Linked DNA regions of Nothobranchius furzeri. The protein of the gene in region 2 interacts with the protein of the main gene of each other region in a biochemical or structural test. Links are inferred from orthologs where the notes say so. Each region holds a gene or a part of one and is shown on either strand. Other genes may lie near its edges. The genes, in order: srebf2, hnf4a, nr0b2a and ncoa6.

Evidence for each region.
Region 1: the proteins of hnf4a (region 2) and srebf2 form a complex in vitro, tested with the Homo sapiens proteins (2 studies listed by BioGRID and IntAct). The link is inferred for Nothobranchius furzeri from reciprocal best matches to the Homo sapiens genes HNF4A and SREBF2.
Region 3: the proteins of hnf4a (region 2) and nr0b2a form a complex in vitro, tested with the Homo sapiens proteins (4 studies listed by BioGRID). The link is inferred for Nothobranchius furzeri from reciprocal best matches to the Homo sapiens genes HNF4A and NR0B2.
Region 4: the proteins of hnf4a (region 2) and ncoa6 form a complex in vitro, tested with the Homo sapiens proteins (2 studies listed by BioGRID). The link is inferred for Nothobranchius furzeri from reciprocal best matches to the Homo sapiens genes HNF4A and NCOA6.

What each region holds. Positions count from the first base shown.
Region 1 is NC_091752.1:67,053,348-67,058,052, forward strand, and holds part of srebf2 (sterol regulatory element-binding protein 2), read right to left. Parts: intron 4,304-4,705; coding exon 3,996-4,303; intron 3,906-3,995; coding exon 3,713-3,905; intron 3,608-3,712; coding exon 3,456-3,607; intron 3,374-3,455; coding exon 3,221-3,373; intron 3,145-3,220; coding exon 2,866-3,144; intron 2,793-2,865; coding exon 2,678-2,792; intron 2,603-2,677; coding exon 2,451-2,602; intron 2,283-2,450; coding exon 2,078-2,282; intron 2,010-2,077; coding exon 1,834-2,009; intron 1,582-1,833; coding exon 1,332-1,581; intron 1,261-1,331; coding exon 1,091-1,260; intron 1,007-1,090; coding exon 835-1,006; intron 761-834; coding exon 649-760; intron 572-648; coding exon 462-571; intron 241-461; coding exon 108-240; intron 1-107.
Region 2 is NC_091755.1:36,591,406-36,596,909, forward strand, and holds the start of hnf4a (hepatocyte nuclear factor 4-alpha), read right to left. Parts: upstream 3,531-5,504; 5' UTR 3,253-3,530; coding exon 3,165-3,252; intron 2,356-3,164; coding exon 2,181-2,355; intron 1,994-2,180; coding exon 1,899-1,993; intron 1,218-1,898; coding exon 1,111-1,217; intron 1,040-1,110; coding exon 884-1,039; intron 452-883; coding exon 364-451; intron 271-363; coding exon 118-270; intron 1-117. UniProt on the Homo sapiens protein: Transcriptional regulator which controls the expression of hepatic genes during the transition of endodermal cells to hepatic progenitor cells, facilitating the recruitment of RNA pol II to the promoters of target genes. Activates the transcription of CYP2C38.
Region 3 is NC_091745.1:40,693,942-40,698,630, forward strand, and holds nr0b2a (nuclear receptor subfamily 0 group B member 2a), read left to right. Parts: upstream 1-1,768; 5' UTR 1,769-2,207; coding exon 2,208-2,742; intron 2,743-2,827; coding exon 2,828-3,093; 3' UTR 3,094-3,295; downstream 3,296-4,689. UniProt on the Homo sapiens protein: Transcriptional regulator that acts as a negative regulator of receptor-dependent signaling pathways. Specifically inhibits transactivation of the nuclear receptor with which it interacts.
Region 4 is NC_091755.1:60,747,383-60,752,587, reverse strand, and holds the start of ncoa6 (nuclear receptor coactivator 6), read right to left. Parts: upstream 3,525-5,205; 5' UTR 3,396-3,524; intron 1,993-3,395; 5' UTR 1,913-1,992; coding exon 1,669-1,912; intron 1,526-1,668; coding exon 1,370-1,525; intron 1,278-1,369; coding exon 1,155-1,277; intron 12-1,154; coding exon 1-11. Other genes in the region: glutathione hydrolase 7, read right to left, coding at 4,823-4,995. UniProt on the Homo sapiens protein: Nuclear receptor coactivator that directly binds nuclear receptors and stimulates the transcriptional activities in a hormone-dependent fashion. Coactivates expression in an agonist- and AF2-dependent manner.

The DNA.
Region 1 (4,705 bases), on a different chromosome or scaffold from region 2:
GTGTTTATACGGATTTGTCCCAACAGAATCGATCAAATGTTTAACGCAAATGATAATATCTACATTTGATTACTACATTCCTCCATAGTTTACTTCAGCGCACTTACTCGAGAATGTGCAAAGCTCTCGGCATTCGCTCGGCTTCTGCCAACAGCGTCCTGACTGTGGCGTCGTCCCCCTGCAGCCAGAGAACCGCAGCCTTCAGAACCAGAGCCCACCAGCGACTCACCGGGTCTCGCACTGGACACAAGAACACCAGGAAAACTTTAGGCATCGTTTAGTCCTTAGCCCCGCCCCCGAACGTCACACACTGAGTTTTTCTGCGAGAAAACAAACTGAATCGCATGAAAAAAATAAATAAAACACAAACAGATTTGTGCCGGAAGACTAAAACACGAGAGTTCTGAGAAACAGGAACTCTGTCTTCCTGGGACTGAACAACAAACGGGTGGTGTTCAAACCTGAGACGGTGGTGTGACTGGGAGGAGTCGGGAAGGGGGGAGGAGGGGAAGGAGAGTCCTCTGTGCAGCTATTCAACAGCTCGAGGAACTCCAGGGCGTTGGAAAATTCCCTGGAAAAAGAGCGAGACGGTTATTTGTACGGAGGAGGACGCGAGTGAAGAACCAGAGCACCTGGATGGCGACTCACCCACAGCTGTTCTTGCCGCCATCAGAGTCGCTCTGCGGCTGGATGAGCGTGTGAACGGCTCTCTCCAGGAGCTTCCTGCAGAAACATCGGTGCAGCTGGGCGATGGGGTCAGCTGGGGACAAACACAAAGCGTCGACTTCATTCAAATCACAAAACAAAAACCGAACCAAACAGGAAGAAACAAACCTGCGTCTCTCTGAGAGGTGTACACTTCGTCGCCGCTGTCGGACTTCACCGACCAATCACAGCTCAGGAAGAACTGCCTACCCAGCGGTGTGAAGAGCCAGCGGAGGCAGTCGGGGATCTGCTTGGTCTCGGTCTGGTTGGCCACGCCCTCTGCGCAGCCCAGAAGGTAACCCTGGAGACAAACAGGAAGTGAGTCAAAGCTGCAGAAGCAAATGCGAGGATGCCTTTGGTCTGGAGGCGGGAAGCAGACACGTACAGGTAGACAGGACAGGTGGTGGCCCAGGACGGAGCGCAGGGCCGTCGCTGCAGTCACGTACATCTGAGCCAGCTGAGTCGGCGCCATCTTGCCCTGAGCGCTCTCACTGAGGTTGACGGCGTTCAGAGACAGAGACAGCGCCCACCAGCTGCTGCGCTGAGGCAGCTTCCCTGCAGAAACACGTTTAGGGTGGTGTGAGTACGAGGGAAGCCCTGAGCTGACTGTGCAGACGACCTCTGACCTGTGAGCTGCAGCTGGCTGAGCTGGTGGTAAACCAGTGCTGCGTCCCTGGCGCTGGTCCTCGCCTCCTCCCCCTCGTGCTTCCCTCCGACCTGGTGGACCAGCCAGCCCAGAGGCGTCGGGCGATGCAAGCAGTAGCGAATAAAATTCCAGGAGAGAGAACAAACCAGGTCCAGACCGGTGGAGGGGAGCGCTCTCGTCAGCACGGACAGGCAGGTCTCTAGACTGGCCATCGCCGCCGCGTAATCTCCCTTTGAGAGAGAGGTGAGAGAAATAAGGAGCCAGGACCGAACCGGCAGAAAACTGAGGGGGGGATCACGACTCGGACACGAGGAAGAAAAGTAAAAAATAAAACCGCTCGGGGAAAAGGAGAACTAGAGACATCAGAAGGATCAGATCACAGGCAGGAGAGAGCGAGGAGCTCTTCGGTGTAAAAACGCTGCGTGTGGAGAGAGAGGGAGTCCAGCACACGCAGCGTTCACCCGCACCGCTTCGGTTCTCACCCGCTTCAGATGCAGGTCTGCTTGCTTGCGGTGCCTCCAGAAGGACACGGATTTAGGCGAATGAAGCGGCGTCACCGGCTCCCACAGGTACAGAACCCTGACGCACCCCCACAGAGCTCCCACTCCACTCAGCACCCAGACAATCACCCACGGCAACAGGCACCGCAGCCACGACGCTGGCGAGATAAAACACGAGGTAAGATCTCGGCTCCTCTGTAGGGAAGCACAAACCCTAAAGCCTCACCGAAGTCCTGGGAGTGGGTCGGGAACCAGACCAGAGTCCTGGATGGGATGTGGCCTGCAGACAGACCCGGGTTCCCCGCGGCCTCCGAGCCCAGCAGCGAGGGCAGCGGGTTCAGGGACAGACAGAAGAACGTCAGAGCGCAAAGAAGGAGCCGAGAGCGATCCATCACCCCCACCGTGGAGGGGGAATCCGGCTCGCTCTTCACCTGAAACACAAAGACGGGTTTAAATTAGGATTTCTGCCACTTTGAAGAGTTCCCGCAATATTTAGGACGTAACCTCTTTCTCCAAACTGAGGCCCTTCAGGAGGTCATCTCCGCTGAACGTTTGGACAAAACAAACCTGTAAATCCTGCCGGTGATGAAACAACTCACCGGGTCGTGATCCAGTAGAGGACTTCCCGGCTCAGAGTCAACGCAGTACGGAGAGAACTGGTGAGGAGAACCGGAGCCGGAGTCGGAGGCGGGAGGTGACATCATCACCACTTCTGGTTTGAGCTCCACGTCCTCGGGTAAGGACGCGGCCCCTGGGAGAGACGGGGGCGCGTTCGTTTCAGTGTCAGGCCGCTATGAATGATGCTGGAGTGTTTAGAAACACTCACCGTTCTTCTGGTTGGCCATCTTCAGGGTCAGGTTCTCCTGCCGCAGCTTGTGGTTGACCTGCTGCAGGTATTTTATGTAGTCGATGGCCTTCCTCAGCACTCCGGACTTGTGCATCTGAGTGGGGAAGGTAGAGATAAACAAATGCAGCTTTTCTCCGTTACGCCTCTAACACCTTTCCTGGTTGCACCTTCGCATCGTTGCCCATGACCAGGTCTCTGAGCTCCATGATCTTGTCGTTGATGGACGACCTGTATCTCTTCTCGATGATGTTGTGGGTTGTTCTCCTTTCACCCTCCTTCACCACCACTCCCGGCCCCATGCCTCCTGCCATCACCTGGCTCGGCTCCACGCTCGCCCTGGGCCCGGCGGTGCAGGGGGAGGAGCCTGGAGGCAGCTGTTTGATGGGCAGCTTGTCTCCTCCCATCACCACGGGAACGGTGGTCAGAATGTTGCTGCCCATCAGAGTCTGGGGACGAAAGACAGATGTGAGGGCCCATCAAGACCAGTCACGAGCTGGTCGCGGGTTCGCCCACGCCGCCTACCGGGACTTGTAGCGCGGCGTTCTGGATGGGCGTGGTCAGGGTGGCGATGCCCGCGGGGCTCTGCACGGTGGACAACACCTGCGTCCCGTCGGGTTTCAGCGTCGTGAGGACCAGCGAGTCCGTCTTGAGGATCTGAGGCTGCTGGACCAAAACCTGAAGGGGTGCATAAACCTTTCGTTTTTACTGAAATGAAACTTTAATCAGGTCAGACGACCTCAGCGCTAGTCACCCTTACAGGCACCTGCTGCTGCACAGCGTGGACTGTGGTGGGCGCTGTGGAGAGGGTCTGGATGGTCTGACCCGTCGCGGTCAGCAGGCGCTGATGCTGAATGGTGACTGGCTGCAGCTGTGGCGATGTCATGATGCTCTGCACTTGTGGCTGAATGACTGGAGGAATAAAAACAGAAATCTGATCACGTTTAAAGCGCCGGAGCTCTGCAGCAGAAGCTGACAATCATCAGCAGATCTACTCCTCTCCATCACTGCGGTCACCTTGGAAACTAGGAGCAGCACTATGATGGCAGATGACCGGGCTCTGGATGAAGCGTGACTGTCCACCGTTGGAGGCGATCATCACGGTTTGGGCTGCCTGCGTCTGGATGGGGAGGGGCGTCTGGCTGTGGGTCTGAACCAAAGTCTGGACCGGGAAGTTCTGGGTCTGCAAGGAAACTCCCTGCGCGTGCACCTGCATTTAAACCAAACAGAATCTGCTTTAGAAAGCCGATGGTTAGCTGACACGGAGCCCGACCGCAGACAGAATAAAACACGCCGATACCTGGATGGTGGGCTGGGACGTCTGATGGGGTTGGATGGGCTGAGGCCGCGGCTGGAGCAGCGGAGGGCTGCGGGTCACCTGCTGCACCGTAGGGGTGGCGGCGGTGGCGAGGGAGGGCGTCTGAGCAGGCGTGAGGGGAGGGGTGAGGGGCAGGGTCTGGGGGGAAGCGAGGTAGGCAGTGGCGGTGGGTGTCTGAATGGCCATCTGGGGGGCGGAGCCAACAGCTTGCACAGAGCTTGCCGTGGTCATCTGTTCTTCAAACATGTCTGGGAAGTCCCCCACCTGGTTGCTGACGAACTGCAGCATCTCTGTGGAGAAACCCAGAAACCCGTCACATGTTTAAAAATGTGAAACGTTCACGAGGATCACGTTTAAGCGAAGAGAGGTCCTCACTGGGCCGGCGTTTGTGTCCGCGGTCCTGAAACTGATGGAAAGCAGTAAAGAGACCAGAGTGCAGCTTTTATTAAGATGTCTGAACCTCGCTAACAGATAAGAGCACAAACTGACCTCGACGTGACGCCTTGACCCCCACAGGTGCCGCTACCGTTCTACTGATGAGTTAACTCGAAGCAGCCGCCACACAGAAAACCTTGAGAAAGGAGGGGGTTATCTTCACGGCCCTGAACCACGCCGCTGTTGTGCAACTACTGATAGCTTTCCTTAAGAACTGGGTCACAACCGATCAATAATTAACCAATCACATCTCAGCT
Region 2 (5,504 bases):
TGGGAAAACAGCAACAGGGATGTTTATGCAGGAAAGTGTGTTAGCAAGTAGCAAACTGAACTCCATTCATGCAGGTTTCTGAGGTAAACATGTATGCATGAAAAGGCGCTTGGAGACCTGGGTCAAAGAAAACAATGGCCTTCAGGCAGGCGTATTCATTATCATCTATCTGCAGCTCCTGGAAAGGAAGAACCAGCTCGTCCAGGATTCTCACGGCCACCCGGCCCACCTCCAACTCCGGACAGTTTCTAGGAATGATATAGTCATTTCCTGCAGAAGAAACACGTGAATTAAAGGCAAAATCTCTCATAAGGAACCAAATCTATCTGTTCTGTAAAACACTCTGTTGTGTGCTAGTTTTACCTAACAACAGGATGTCTTTGTAGAGCATGGACCTCTTGGCTGCACCGAGCAGAAGATGTTCTCCTGCATGAGCTCGAAGCAAAGCTACCTGGAACACAAGTAAAAGAACAAGACTGACATTTTATGGAAGTTTTTTATTTTTTTCAAAGATGGCGAGCAGAAGAAGCTCTGGCAGGAGACCCAGGTTCTCACACTGCATCAGCAAATCAGTTACCAAGGCCCAGTGACCACAGTGTTAATGATTCTGCACTTTTCATGGAGCAACTCAATCTTTGAAAACCAGCTCATCATATTCTAACTCAGGATTAAATACATTAACCATTCTGGTTGAAGGTTCGAGTGTGAAGATCTACATCGCCTTCAGAGATCCGTTCAGGCTCAACCCTCTGTTTTAAGTCAGCTGAACTTTTATTTTATGGAGGAAAAGCAAATGGTGGTGGTGGGGGGGTGTCTATAGCCGGACTAGTTGATGAGTGACCAGAGTGGTAACAGCTCTGTGTACACTGTGTCTGGGTCTCACCTGGTCATCCAGGGGCAGGTCGCAGAAGGCCGGGATGTACTTGGCCCACTCTACCAGGACCAGCAGCTGCTGCTTCATAGACTCACAGACGTCTGTGATGGCGGCGATCTTTTTGGTCCTTATGTCTCCGTTCAGGATGGGAGCGGGGGAGGTGATCTGCACGAGGAAACACGTGTAAGTGACAGCACGTTTCAGCCGTCCGGTGTCACGTCTGTCCTGGGCTTCACCTGTCTCGACAGGACATCGGCCTGAATGAGCGCGTTGATGGACGGTAAACTGCTGTCTTCGTAGCTGGACCTCCTGGTGCTGATTCTGTCTCGCTCATTTTGTACAGCTGAAAACACAAAGACACGGGAAAATGATAAACGGTTTGTGTTTCTATAGCGCCTTCTAGAATCCAACCTCCAAGATGCTTTACAACACACCAGTCATTCACCGTTTCACACACACACACACATTCACACGATGGTGGTGAGGAGCTACATCACAGACACAGCTACAGAAACGGAGGTGAAGCGTCTCGCCCAAGGACACAACCGCCGAGTCAGACGGAGCGGGGCTTGAGCCTGCAGCTCTTCGGTTACTGGGCGGGCACTTAACTCCTCTGCCACCGTCGCCCCTTTTACACATTTACCGCCTCCATCATCAGCTTAGCTGACAGAGTTTATGCCTAACAAAACCAAAAGTTGTTCCAGGTGGGTTTTTTTTCCCCACACCCAAAGTGAGATCCCGAGACAAAAAAAGATTAAGTCTTCTCAGGTCGTCGTGTTTATCAGTATACGACCATTATTGCTCTGAAATGTTTGCTCAGCATAAGCTGGCCAGAGACTTGAGCGCTCTGCCGAGTGAACATTAACAAAGTGGTGCTCTCCTCTGGATTGCGACACCAGCAGACCAGTTGGATCAATTGGATGGAGACAGCTCCATCTGTGGAGTGATTTCCTTAACACGCAGAGAATTGTTTTACGTGGTTTGTTTGTTTTTGGTTTATTTCAAACGGATGAATGTTTCATACCTTCTTTCTTCATGCCGGCTCTGAAGCATTTCTTCAGTCTACAGTATCTGCATTGATTCCTCTTGTCTTTGTCCACAATACACTGTCTGCTGAACCTGAGAATGGATGGAAAACGTGTTAGGATGTCTCTAAAAGGAGTTCTGTTAATGCACATTTGTTCTGATATTTGGCGTTACTATATTTGCTATAATTTTAAAGCAAATTGCACAATAATTAATTTAAGGAAGAAGGTAACTCGAGTGGATTTTTATTCACATTTTCCAGCACGACACGTGTCCTCACCTGCACGAGTACATGTGGTTCTTGCGAACACTTCGCCTGAAGAAGCCCTTGCAGCCGTCGCAGCTGGAGGCCCCGTAGTGTTTGCCTGTAGCCCTGTCTCCACATATGGCACACAAGCTGCCCGCTGCCAGGTGGCCGGTGGCGTTCATGTTGGTGCTTTCAGCCGGCGAGTTGTCTAACACACAGCAGAGAAGCACAGAAATCCAATCAGATGGTTGGATTGTTCCATTTGAAGCTTGAGTTTGAGTTTGACTCTGGAAGGTGTGAACGAGCAGAAAAACGCAAACGAGCTTCACCGCAAAGGATCAAAGCGATCGTCATGAGTGCCTCAGATAGTTAGAGTCAATAGATGGTTGAGGTTTGATTACCTCTCAATAGGTAATCAGTGGAAACAGTCATGAGCTCAATCAATCAGAGCATGTGTCATGACACACTGTAGAAATGTGTAGGATAGATTGGACTGACCCAAGGAGAGGATCTGTGTCTGTTAGAAATGTCATGCCTTTCATAGCTCTTCCCTCTCTTTCCCATCGGGAATTTTAGAATCGGGACCCAGCCGTGCGTCATGGGAGACTGCCTGTATAAATATGCCTGTGTCACAGTAAGAACGCAGCAAAACGCTGCATCCTTTCTCTTCAGTTCAAGCTCTGTGGGAACAGACGGTTTGTAACGAGAGAAGGGAGATCATAATACACCGGCTTTAAAGTCAGTCCGCTGACACCACATCAGTCTGCAAGCTGAAGCAGGTCAGAACCGCTTGGAGCAGCTGACCCAGGAGCGATGCAGCAATCTCATAAACTTGAATCCCTCAGTGAGCTGATAAAAGAGGACCACTGCGGAGGGTCAGCCCTGAGAGTGAGGCCCAGATGGACAGTTGACCCCTTTTATCAATTTGTGCCAGAGCTCCCCCCGACCTCTCCTCAACAGTCTTAAATCAGTAAAAGTTTCAAAGTTCATTGTCAGAGTTGCATATCTGGGACTCACCTGCGCCCAGTGGGAGCACTTGCATGTTTTCGAACTCCAGCGTGGTGTAGGCTGGGTCCAGAGCCTCGCTGTAGTCTGCCATGTCCATGTCTATCACTGGTTTGGGCAAACAAATTCTCAACTACCTGACAGAGGGGCAGATAGACTTGTCCAAGAAGCTGATGCCCCCCTCCTCCTCCTTCTTTCTTTCTTTTCTCACACCCCCACACACCTCTGTTACCCCCCTCTTCCTAACTCTTCCCGGGCCTGGCTCCACCTCGTAGCAGGACAGGTCTCAGGCCCGACTGAGTGTGATGAGAAGACAGCAGCGGAGTCAGTGACTGACATCAGCTCTCCTCCGGCCCTCGCGCAGCTAACCATCCGAGAGGTGGAGTGTCTCGTCCCTGGTTGATGGTTAACTAACTGATTTAGTGGTGAATCACTGAGAGTTTCTTTTTTTTAGGAGACGGTGGGACTTCAGCCACCTCTGCACACTCCTCTGTCAAATAGAGGATAAACATTTCCTCCATGGGCATTAAGTTGGGTCAGTCTCAGCCGCAGCTCTTTGAAACTTTAACTTCATTTCTAGGCTGAGACCAGGAGTAGAGGGAGGTCGCCGAAGTAAACAGGATGGGACAGATTAACCTGTTTCAGATTTTATTCTGCTTTAAAATGAAAAATCACAGTAAATTATTTTTTTATTTAAGAAAAATGACATTTTGTGGTCCAACGGGGACTTCTAACTTACCACCAACACGTGTGTTAAATGCAGCCATAATGCTTTTGTCTGTCTGCTTCTCACCTAAACTGCTGAACAGATTCAAACGAAGCTCTCAGAATATAACTACAGGATGAAAATAAACAACTGATTAATCTCTGGAGTCTTCCAAGATGGCTGCCACTCATGGATGTAATTTTCACTTTAGAAATGGGGGGGGGGGGGACATGGGGGGGGGGTGTATCTTTACAATATACTCTCATGGGAAACCGGCTTCAACACCAACGGTTGTTTTCTGCTTGGTCCTAGAGCTCAACCAGTGTCAATTTAATATAGCGTAATATTGTTTTTGGACGGTAAAAAGTGCAGGGGTCAAAACTTGACTTTGGAAAAAGTGGGGGGGATATGTCCCCCCTGTCCCCCCCCAAAATTACGTCCATGCTGCCACTGCAAATCAGCATAAAAAATCTCAGTGGGTTTAACAATCTGAGAGCACATGGATTCAAATGTTTCCGATCTGGAATCAGCGGAATTGAGCCGCATTAGCCGGGGAACTGACTCTTGCTAAAGCAAGGTGATGTCATAACATACAGACTGACCCACAAGCAGCTGACCTTCTGAGGTTTTACCATTCAGGACAAATCTAAGGAGTAGCCTAACAGCTTCAATAATGTGCTTATCTCAAATCCAAAGCTGATAATTACAAGGTGAATATTCACCTGTGCTCAGGTCATCAAACACTGGTGGTGCGCTCACACAGTCTCTTAATGCTGTTGCAATGTATCCTCAAAAGTCTTAATGAAAGGCTGAATTATAAAACCAGTAGAAGTATGAGTGGACATGGGAGATATCTGACATAGTGAGAAATAAAGCAGATAATATGGATTACTTTAACTTTAGTATTGGTTTAAGTCAATGATTAATATTACCAAAAATGACGTAGTTAGTTAAAAATGTGGCTATTTGTGTTGTGAAGTCTACCTGAGCCATATAGCTCCAAATGGGGCGGGGCTTTCTCACCTGTTCTCATCATTTTGTGTTTTTAAGTATTGTATAAATCACTGCTGCCAAAGGTCACAGCACACTAACCTTGATCAAACCGCACAGTTTGATGGCTAGTTTTTCACTCCTTTTAAAAGCTGACAATCGTGAAAACAGACGATTACGACACGATTGTGAGCAGGATGGTAGAGTGAGTTTCACTGCTCACTAACACCACTCATTTAAAGCCAAATAAGATAACTTATGTGTCAGGGAGGAAATGAATGAAAGTGTTTAAACATCATTATTTCCTATTTCATGTCCATGTCTGATGTAATATTGAATACTGGTGTTTCTCAACGCTTGGGCAGTTTCCACGTGTGACTTTTGCAACTCATCCTGAATCTGAATCTGAGTCCTCCTCTGACAAGCGACAGCAAACAGTAGTCTTGTATTTGAAGAGAAAGTGCCAGAGCACAGCCACAGGTCAACGATCCCAAGTTCAGGCAGACCTCAGAGGCAGTAAACCTCATGTAGGGGAGCTTGTTAACCAAGCAGTCAAATTATACGAAGCCATCGTAAAGTTATTTCTTCTTCCAGTAGGCAAACACCACAACACGCCTGCAGACTTCCGCTGAAGATCTGAGGATGATGCGTCCCAC
Region 3 (4,689 bases), on a different chromosome or scaffold from region 2:
CCAAGGCTCATTCTCAGCCCTCTTCTCAAGGGGGTCTGCTTCAGGCCGACCAGGGCCAACACACCCACTGCTGACAGCAAATTCACACCTTCCATTAGAGCAAGCCTCTGATTGGTGGGTAGAATCAGCCCACATGGGCTTAAGGCAAGGATGTGTGGAATCAACCGGGCCAGGCTGGGGCCGACTGGGGCTACCCGGCCCGGGCCGACCCGGTACAGATGGGAATGGCCCATTAGATTCACCCAGATAAAGACAATAAAGTTTATTTCTCACTAAATAGAATATTTAATAAGAAATCACAATCTAGCCATAGGAACACCACTTGGTGTGTGTGTGTGTGTGTGTGTGTGTGTGTGTGTGTGTGTGTGTGTGTGTGTGTGTGTGTGTGTGTGTGTGTGTGTGTGTGTGTGTGTGTGTGTGTGTGTGTGTGTGTGTGTGTGTGTTTGCGCTGACTTCCCAATCCCCACTGTCGCTACACACTTGCTTTTGAGGATTGCTGCAAAGACCTAGTCAGTGACTCGATGCCGTCTGCTGAGTTAGGAGCTATATAAATAATCTGAACTGAAGAAAAACATGTACATTATTGAGATTAGTTGTGAAATGGCCAACAACAAGAGAATGTAACATTTGTAAAAACAATAACACTATTTCTTTTTTGATCAAGATGCTTTTTTAGATAAGTTTGTCTCACAAACGGAACATCTGCAGTTAGAATGCCTCATTTCATTTCAAATGTGTTGACAGCAAAATAAACATGTTCAAAAACTTCTACGTAAATGCAGCTGTTACTCAGGAACTGGGCAAAAGCAAATGCAAACAAAGAAACTATAGAAGCAGACATTTGTAAAACGGGTTAATTACGTTCCAGATCACTAACAAACACTTCTGTGCATGTTTCAAATGAAAAACTGGTCTTACACACGACCCTTACGATCACACAAACAACCTTTTAATCTTCTGTGTAATAATCGTGTTAAAGATCGAAAAGGCAGAATTAAAACGCAAATCTTGATGGATATCCATTAACGGTGTGGAACACTGAAAAAAAGTTTTAATTATTATTTCTGATTATAATCGGTCTCCGAGTGTTTCGTTCATGCTGAACATGAAAATAGTCTCCTACACCTAGGATTTGAAAAGCCTGACAGATCTACGCCACGCTGTCACCTAACATTCATGGACTCACCCTCCTTGACTCGCGGCTGTTGTTGGCTTAGCATCCAGGAAACAGCAGAGAGGTAGTAGAAGCTAACGTTAGCACAAGCAACTCCACCACACAGCAGACCTCCTCCAGGCTCGTGTTATTTGTGGAGAGAAAACATCAACGTTGAAGAGCAAACAGAGTCAGTGGTAGAGTCGCGTTGCTGCTAGCCGGTCCGATTTTAAAGGTTAGTAGGTGAAGTGGTTATAAGGTTGAAGTATGCTTTGGGACTTCTGAGGATTAGATGCATTAAGTGTACATTTTACCGTTTGTTCCCACCCCAGAGTTACAGGTTAAGCTATCAATGCAACTTGCCCCTAGGGGGCTCGCTACAGCGATGAACTTGTTTTATATTCTTCCCGAAGTCATTTGGAATCATTTCAATAGTTCCTTTAGTCATCACACACTGTTGAAATTCATCTCCGCATTTGACCCATCCCCGTGGGGAGCGGAGAACTGCAGCTGTGGTCGGGAATTATTTGGTGGTTTTATGCTACTACTACTGTTTCCCTAAAATTGAAGCATAATTCCCACTGTTCCCGGTTTGGAAACGTTTGTCTAAACTAAACTACGTTTGATGAGAACACGATGTGAAGGTCAACGGCCTCCTTTGTGGTCTGGCCTCCTTCCAGCACTACAGGTGTGAGCTGGCGGGTGCAGTGACACAGCGTGGGGCTGATTACCTCTGCAGTCCTTGGTAGCTTGGTACTGCCTGGGTTGATGACACTGCCTTCCAGATAAGGCCAATCCCACTTGATATCCATGTGTGACTCCAGCAGCTACTTCTCAATGAGAAAAGCTTATCTGTTTCCCAGGGTTATTCCAGCAGTCACCTGGCAGAGCGCGCGGTTGTTTTTCACATTGGGTGTATTGACATTTCAAGGTCCACTAAGAAGGGAGGGTTGGCCTTATAAATAAGACTGGAGGAAGCAGCAGCTCTCAGAAGCTCAGACGGAGCCCGTCGTGGCAGAGAAGAGGTTCAGAGGAGCAGCCGCATCGAAGAAAGATGGATAACAGATGCCAGTGTTCCGCTAACAAACAAAGGCAGTTAAACCCGATCCTCTACAACATCTTGAGCCAGATGGACAGCGGTAGACCGACTCCAGACACCTCCAGCCACAGTTCCGTTCCTCACAGATGCAACTGTGAGACGCGGCGGAGAGTGTGCTTAAAAAGGCCGTCTGTGGTCTGCAAAGAGGCGTCTGCAGTTCTGGTGAAAACCGTCCACTTCATGAAGAACTTGCCAGCGTTTAACCAGCTGCCACCCAGTGACCAGTTTGCACTACTTAAAAGCAGCTGGGTGCCACTTTTTATTTTGGGTTTGGCCCAGGAGCGCGTGGACTTTGAGGTGGCGGACGTCCCTGCTGACAGCATGCTGAAGAAGATTCTCCTGAACTGCCAGGAGAGCCCTGAAACAGAGCGGGAGCAGCCAACCATGGCAGGCATCAGCAAACTCAAGTCGTGTCTCAAAAAGTTCTGGAGTCTAGATGTGAGCCCAAAGGAGTACGCTTACCTGAAAGGGACCACGATATTTAATCCAGGTATGTACTGCGTTAACTGGATTCAGACAACAGATAATCCAAGGACTCGTTTGTCAAGCAACAATTCTGGTTTTCTCTCAAACAGATGTACCAGATTTGAAGGCAGGCCTGTTTGTCGAAGGCTTGCAGCAGGAAGCTCAGCACGCCCTGAGCGAGGTGGTCCAGCTGCTTCACCCTGGCAACCAGGAGCGCTTTGCTCGGATCCTCCTCACAGCCTCCATGCTGCAGGGCATCACACCCAGCCTCATCACCGAACTCTTCTTCAGGCCTGTGATAGGCCAGGCCAACCTGCTGGAGCTGCTGGTCGACATGCTCTTCAGCCGATGGGAGGGGTGGTCCTCGGGATGGTGACCTCCATGCAGCGTGCTTTAGAGGCTTCTATAAAGCACACTAGGGTTTTGACTTTCGTCCGCTGAAGCTGAGGTCACTTCACCGTCTGAGCAGAACTCCTGAGAGGTTTTTGAGTTTTGATCCTACGTGTCGATGAGCTCCTCTGCTGTAAATAAGCATCTGCATTTCCAGAAAACTTGAATAAATATATTTTTGTACACGACTGAGTCCGATCCGTGGATCCATCCTCCATTACATGTTGTGCTCAGCAAACTTTTCAGAAAGTCAAGCGTAAGCCTGCGCGTTAAAGGAGAGAATCTAAAATTAGAATGAAAACACACATTTGTGGCTTCAAATGGAACAGAAAACCTTTTTTCTGCCTGTACTGCTGTGCTGTGTCTCCCTCTAGAGGACGTTTGGTGGAAGTTTTTTTTTCTCAGAAGACTAGCGGCAAATATTTTCTTACTTTTGCATTTCTCACAAAACCACAGCATCAAGATCCCCCCACCCCATCGTCACAAAAAGGGACAGAATGGCACGAACGCTAAACTCAGCGCAGTATAAAAAAACACTGTCTGCATGTAGTTATTTGAGAAATCAGGCTTAGTCATCCTACTTTGTGGTATGTTAGTTGTGAAACCCTGTCTTTACATGACAACTCGTACAGGTAAAACAGGAATGTGCTGGTGGGGGCGGTGAGCCGGTGGAAATGGGGTTACGCGTGGAAACGGCAACACAAACAAGACAAAAGGAGAGTCCAAAATGCTTCAAATCGAGTGCAAAGTGGAAAAAAACTACACATTTTTGTTGCTGCAGCAATTTTTCTTTTCAGCAGATATGAAATCATCCAAATGTTGGAGTTGTTAGGATAAGGTGGCTGTAATCTGCTAGATTTACTGAAAACTTAGAACCCGGTGCATTCAAACTGAACATCTTCATTTGAGCAGAAACAAGAAAACGTGAAACAACGATCAACGCGTCCTAAAACAGATTAGAACCAGAAACCAAACTCTTCATTCTCTTCAGGCTCCTGCAGCAAGTCTAGTTATCGGAATTGCTTCTTTCCTTTTTCCATGAATGACAAAGACAAACCTCGGGATTTTATTTCCTTTCTGTCAGAACCAGCCAAACGAGTTCCTCCTTTTGCTGAGGGCGGAAAAAGCCTCTACCTGCTAGAACGCTGACCTCGGAGACGAGCCTGCAACAATCCCAGATTCGGAAAAAAAAGGAAAAGTGAGCTGGAGAGGAAGAAACTCGAATGAAAAATGATTTCTTGGTGTATGAAAGCTACACTAATATGCCAGTATTCCACTTGTGGCTGCAAGAGAACATAAACACACTTAAATATGCAATAAAAAACACAAGAATTTAGTTTATTTTTTTAAAATACAACTTTTTGGGTAATATAAAAAAAGACACCAAACGGCACAATGCAACATCATTTCAAGAACAGTTATGGCTTCAGCACAGTTCTGCTGCTTAAACATCAGCAGCAGCAGCAAAAAAAAAAAAAAAAAAAAAAAAAAACATCTCAGGTTAAAGAAACGGTAACAGATCAGCTCAGACAACACAACGCTTGTAAAACTAAAAAAGGAAGGAGGACGGTTATGACCTACC
Region 4 (5,205 bases), about 24 Mb from region 2:
CCTTACCACCCCTTGAAGATAAAATTGTGTTGATTAGGTCACCATTTCATAAACAAGGAAAATAGTCAAGAAAATACAAAAAAAGAAAACACATGAAAAAAAATGTATATATATATATATATATATATATATATATATATATATACACACACACACACACCATACACCTTTAGTTTCCTTTCAGAAACAACATTTTCTATGAGATACCATTTTACACCATACCATACTGCGAAATACTCCAGAGGTTATTTTGAAGAATGTAAAAAGGTATATGTTGCAATATGTCGCCGACTTGTTCATTCCATGTTTAGAAAACTTGGTGCTGTCCTTGAAATATATGGTGGTCATACAAAATACTAGATGTAATAGTTTTGGAGAGTGTATTCATTTTGCATCAACCAATTTTAGTAAAACAAAAGATTTAGTGATCCAAGTTATATTATTAACCTTAATGTCATGTTATGGCGTTAAACTAGTGTTCACTAAAACCGAGCCTTGTAAAAATTCTGGAAATTGTTTTTTTTTTTTTATCATTCAGCTACTGATTCAATTAGTACTTTTTAAAGGGGGTGTACTCATTTATGCTGAGAACTGTGTATATATAGCCTAAAATTATATCGCAATATTTTTTTTCTTCTGTTTATGTCAAAAGGAGAAATATAGAATACCATTTAAATAACATTTAATGTTCAAAACTAATTAAAAAAATACAAAATATCAAGTAATATTTATGTTAAACATTGTTAGAAACAATGCAACACAAAAATTCACATGAACCAAATAAAGATGAAGAAATTTTAAAATAAAATACAAGCTTACTGTGATGAAAGTTTGGAAACCTGCGTGTTAATAATATGTTAGAAGCTAATGGCATATAAGGGAATTAGCGTTAGCGTTAACAAGCGTTGATATGACTTCACTGTCGCCCAGAATATTTTACAGAGGATGTTTTTCTGCTCAGCATCAGACTCCTTAAACCTAAACCAGGCCAGTATAAATTATGTCTTCGTCTTCTCATCAACTTGCTCTGCGCTGAAGCTGCTGCTGCTTTCGACAGCATTCATGTGTGATCACGTTTGGACAGTAAAGCCAAAATCTCTACTAGTAGACTAGAGTACTGTTAATTTTTTTGTTAAACTTTTGGAAAAACTTACCTGGGCCAGGCTGACCTGGAAAGCCACCATCCATTCTCATCTGACCAGGTGCACCAATTGGTCCATTCACTCTGACTTCTTGTCCTCTGTTTGGTCCCACAGCCACATTAATTGCTCCCTCTCCTGAACACCAAGATTAAATCATTGCATAAATGAATTTTTATGAAGACAAAAGGAGGAGATCTGCATGAATTCTTTTTGGACTGAGCTATTACCTTCTATTTGCACAGAGAGAATACCCAGGTCTCTGAGCTGCTGCTGGTTGTTTTGGGCCAACAACCGGAGTCGCTCAGCAGCATCCCGGGGAATGTTGAATGTGACACGGACACTGTTCCACGGCTCAACATGTTTAGGCTGCAGCCGTTCTGGGCCTAAAATAAAGTGTATTTAGTTAGTGTTGGTTGGAAAATGCTTAACAGGTCAGTGCAAGATATATATTTTTGAATCAAATACACGTAAATGAGCTCAAATAAAACAAAGTAACAAAACAAATTGAATAAAAATAAACACAAACCCAAATTAAGAACATCAGGTATCCCATTGAGGATAGTTTCTAGTTTTTGAGTGAAGTTCTCATCATCCATGTTTCCTTGAAAGGCAACAAAGACTGTGAAGTCCTCCTCTCCATTTTCTCTAGTGTCTTCTTGCTCCATGGGTCCAACTTCTTCTGTTACGTTGCATTTCTCAGAGCTATCTGCGTCTTCTCCAGAATCTTCTCCAACACCAGAGTCTCTGTCCGATTCACCATCAGGCTCCATGTACGCAGTCTTCTGGGATGAGGAATGTTCAGCAGCTATCCTCCCTTCCTTGTTAGGAGTGGTGTCTAAACCGTTTTATGCTGTAATTACAGATTATTCAAACTTTAGATTACAGCATTTTCTTATCAAATACTATTATTCCATACTTTGCCTATCTCAAATGTATGTACTGCCCAGAAAAGTCTATGGTATTGATTAATTTAATAATTATTTGATAAATTATGCTTTTTCTATAAACTGTTTCAGCTTAAAGTAAAAAGCTGCTTACGCTATGGGTTCCCAATTTTCTACAATTTCGTAGAATGCATTTAAAATGGAAAGTTTTGGGAACATAACAGCTCATCTTAGAATATTTTTAATTTCCCATTAATATATTGAGACCTTCGACAGTTCTTAAAGAGCAAGTCACCCCCAAATCTACTTTTTTTTTTGCTGATAAACTATATAAATGTGTGTCTAAATGTGCTGCAGACACGTGTAGTCAATAATTTGGTACTTCAGTGCATCTTAGTTAAAATTGAAATATTCTGCCTAAAACTGTCAATGTTGCGCCGTTGTCAGGTAAAAACTCTGCACTGCATTTGAATTTAAATCTGCCACCGCTATTGGCTAAGAGGTATGCTATGATGTAAACTGGTACATTATGATGTCACAGTGCCGTTGTGAGCCTGTGTGTGTGTGTGTGTGTATTTGTTAGTGGCTCCGCCCTCTCGGTCTGCTAGGCAACAGCATTTGTTGCATTTTTCAAACATGAAGAGGGAGTGAAATAAGTTTCTTGTAGGGGGTGACTTGCTCTTTAATTGTTTTAGAAACCCTGAACACAGCCAAGAAACAACAGTTATAGTAAGTTGCTAGAGGCTGAAGAGTATTCTATATAACATTCGATTCGAGTAAAACAAAGACAAGCAAAAAAAGTCATAATTTCTATTTGCAAACCAGAAAAAGAAGCAAATAAATGAGTTTGTAACTCAATGAAGCAGACACCTGGAGGTGACATCACTGACCGGTGATTAGCTTATTAAGCAGAGGTGCTCTGATTGGTAGTCACATTACTTTCAGAGTTGTGAGATTTCTTGATATGGGAGTTAAACTTGTTAGTAATAATATAATATATTTTTATAATGATGATCATCCTGGTTTCAGTCACCGGCGCTGCAGGAGTGTGGGCCTTAACGCAGTAAGCTAACATTCAAACAAAATCCACAAGTAAACTCTGTTTCTTACCAAATTGTGCATTTTCATCGTGGTGCAATTAACACTTACATTTCAAATGTATACGTTTTAGCAGCACACAGAAAGAGTGAAATTGAAAGTGGTTCCTATTGGTTTTCCGAAAAATCCTGTTAGCATCAGTTAGCTATGTAGCTAGATGTCAGTCTCCAGACGCGAATGAATCCAAGCAGCGAACCGTAGCTGGTTTAATTTGCCTTTCAACAGTTTTCGTTAATAAAAACAAGGAGAAAGGAATATACAAAGACCTTACCAAACATATCCATATACGAATACGTTCAACTAGTCGACATCTGTTTGCTAGACAGGCTAACAAAATAGGATGAATGTCATAAGCAAGCTAACTAACAAAGGTTGTTTCCGGTTTTCTTTTTCAAAATAAAAGCTCAAAAGGTAAACGCACTCCTTAGGTTAACAAGTTCATGACTATTTCCTAAATAGTCCTGAATAAACTGAGCTGTTTTATCTATTTTTCAAATTGTATTAAATGCAAGTATGATGACAAATTGCGGAACACTGCTTATGTGGGTATGTGCAAACATTTTTATTTCACAAATTTGAACAAAACCGATTTTTCCTTCAATTATAAACACAAAATAATCAAACATCAGGTGTGCAAATGTGTGCATTAACAGTACACAAGACAAGACTCTAAGATTAGAAACCTATTTGATCAATTTAGTGTGAGAGAAAAACGTGTTCGATTTTACTTCTATTATTCCGCTTAATTGCACCAAAAACACATGACACCCATCCCGAAGAGTTCCAGGCTGAATATAGATTTTAGGAATAAAAACATCTACAGTCAAACAGTGATGTAAAAATTGATTTTACATTAAACTGTTTTAATTCCCATTCAGAGAACAAGGGTGACCCTCTCTCAAATAATTCTAATGATTTTCAAGAAAAGCAGCAAATAAACCACTAAAACTATATTAAGAATGCAAAAAGAACAGTAACAATATAAGAAATACTTTAAAATCAATAAAACCATCTCAGTAAAAGTAGTAAACCAAGATGTGGAAATCACATTCCTGTTAAACATCTCTGTCTGGGTATGTTATCACCTAACATGTTCTCAAAAAGAAGGTAAAACTCCAGCAGCTGTGCAAGACAACATAATCACAGTTACATGCCACACTACAAGCAAGGGAAGGACAGTTAGACAAAGACAAAGCAAGTCTCTTCACTTGTCATCTAGCAACATCCTTGGTAATATTTGGAATAATTGACAAAAAACATTAAAAAATAAGTTGACTGTTAATGCATGTACTGCACACTATGCATTTTTTTGTACATTTTACATTATTGGTTTATGATTTCATTTATTGCTCAATAATTTACCTCTGAAATTCTGACTAAACAGTGATAGAGAAAATACTCTCAAACATTCCTCTCATAAGTTCAGCAATTACATTATTTCATTTGCAGCTAACTTTAGTGCCACTGCTGGGTGGGCTTTTACTTTGAAAACCTTGTACCGTGTGACTCGAGCAAACAGATGTGAGGTGAACTCACAGAAAGCTAAGTGGATTTTTATTTAAATGGCAGTTTGCTGTGAGATTTTGATGACTGTAGTAGTTTGATCATTTTTATTCCACCTTTTCTTCTTTCACTAGTATCCTACGAGTTTGATCCCTGCTGTAATGTGAGTGAATACTGGAAAAAGTGATGGATGCACTAAGGTGTGTTGGAAATGGTGAGGGCAGAAGCATCAGCACTACGTGGGTCCTTCACTCCAATGATGAGGTCATTGGTTCTCCGTGTGCCTTCCACCAACGAAAGGACACCCATCCTTTCAACTGTGTGTCCTTTGGCCTTCAGCAGCTTCACGTCATCTTCCAAAAACTCAGCTGTAGGGAAACCAAATGAAGAAAAAGGAAGTTGTCAATCTGCGATCAAGAAGCATTGCTTGATTTATCTGTTCGGATTCAAGAACATCCCATTTTCTCCCCTACAGTAGATTATCTGTCTTGTCGCTGCAACACTGACCGCTACTGGAGATCCTTCCTGCCAACAGCCATTGTAATATACAATAACTCTTTGATGACTTGATTATTATT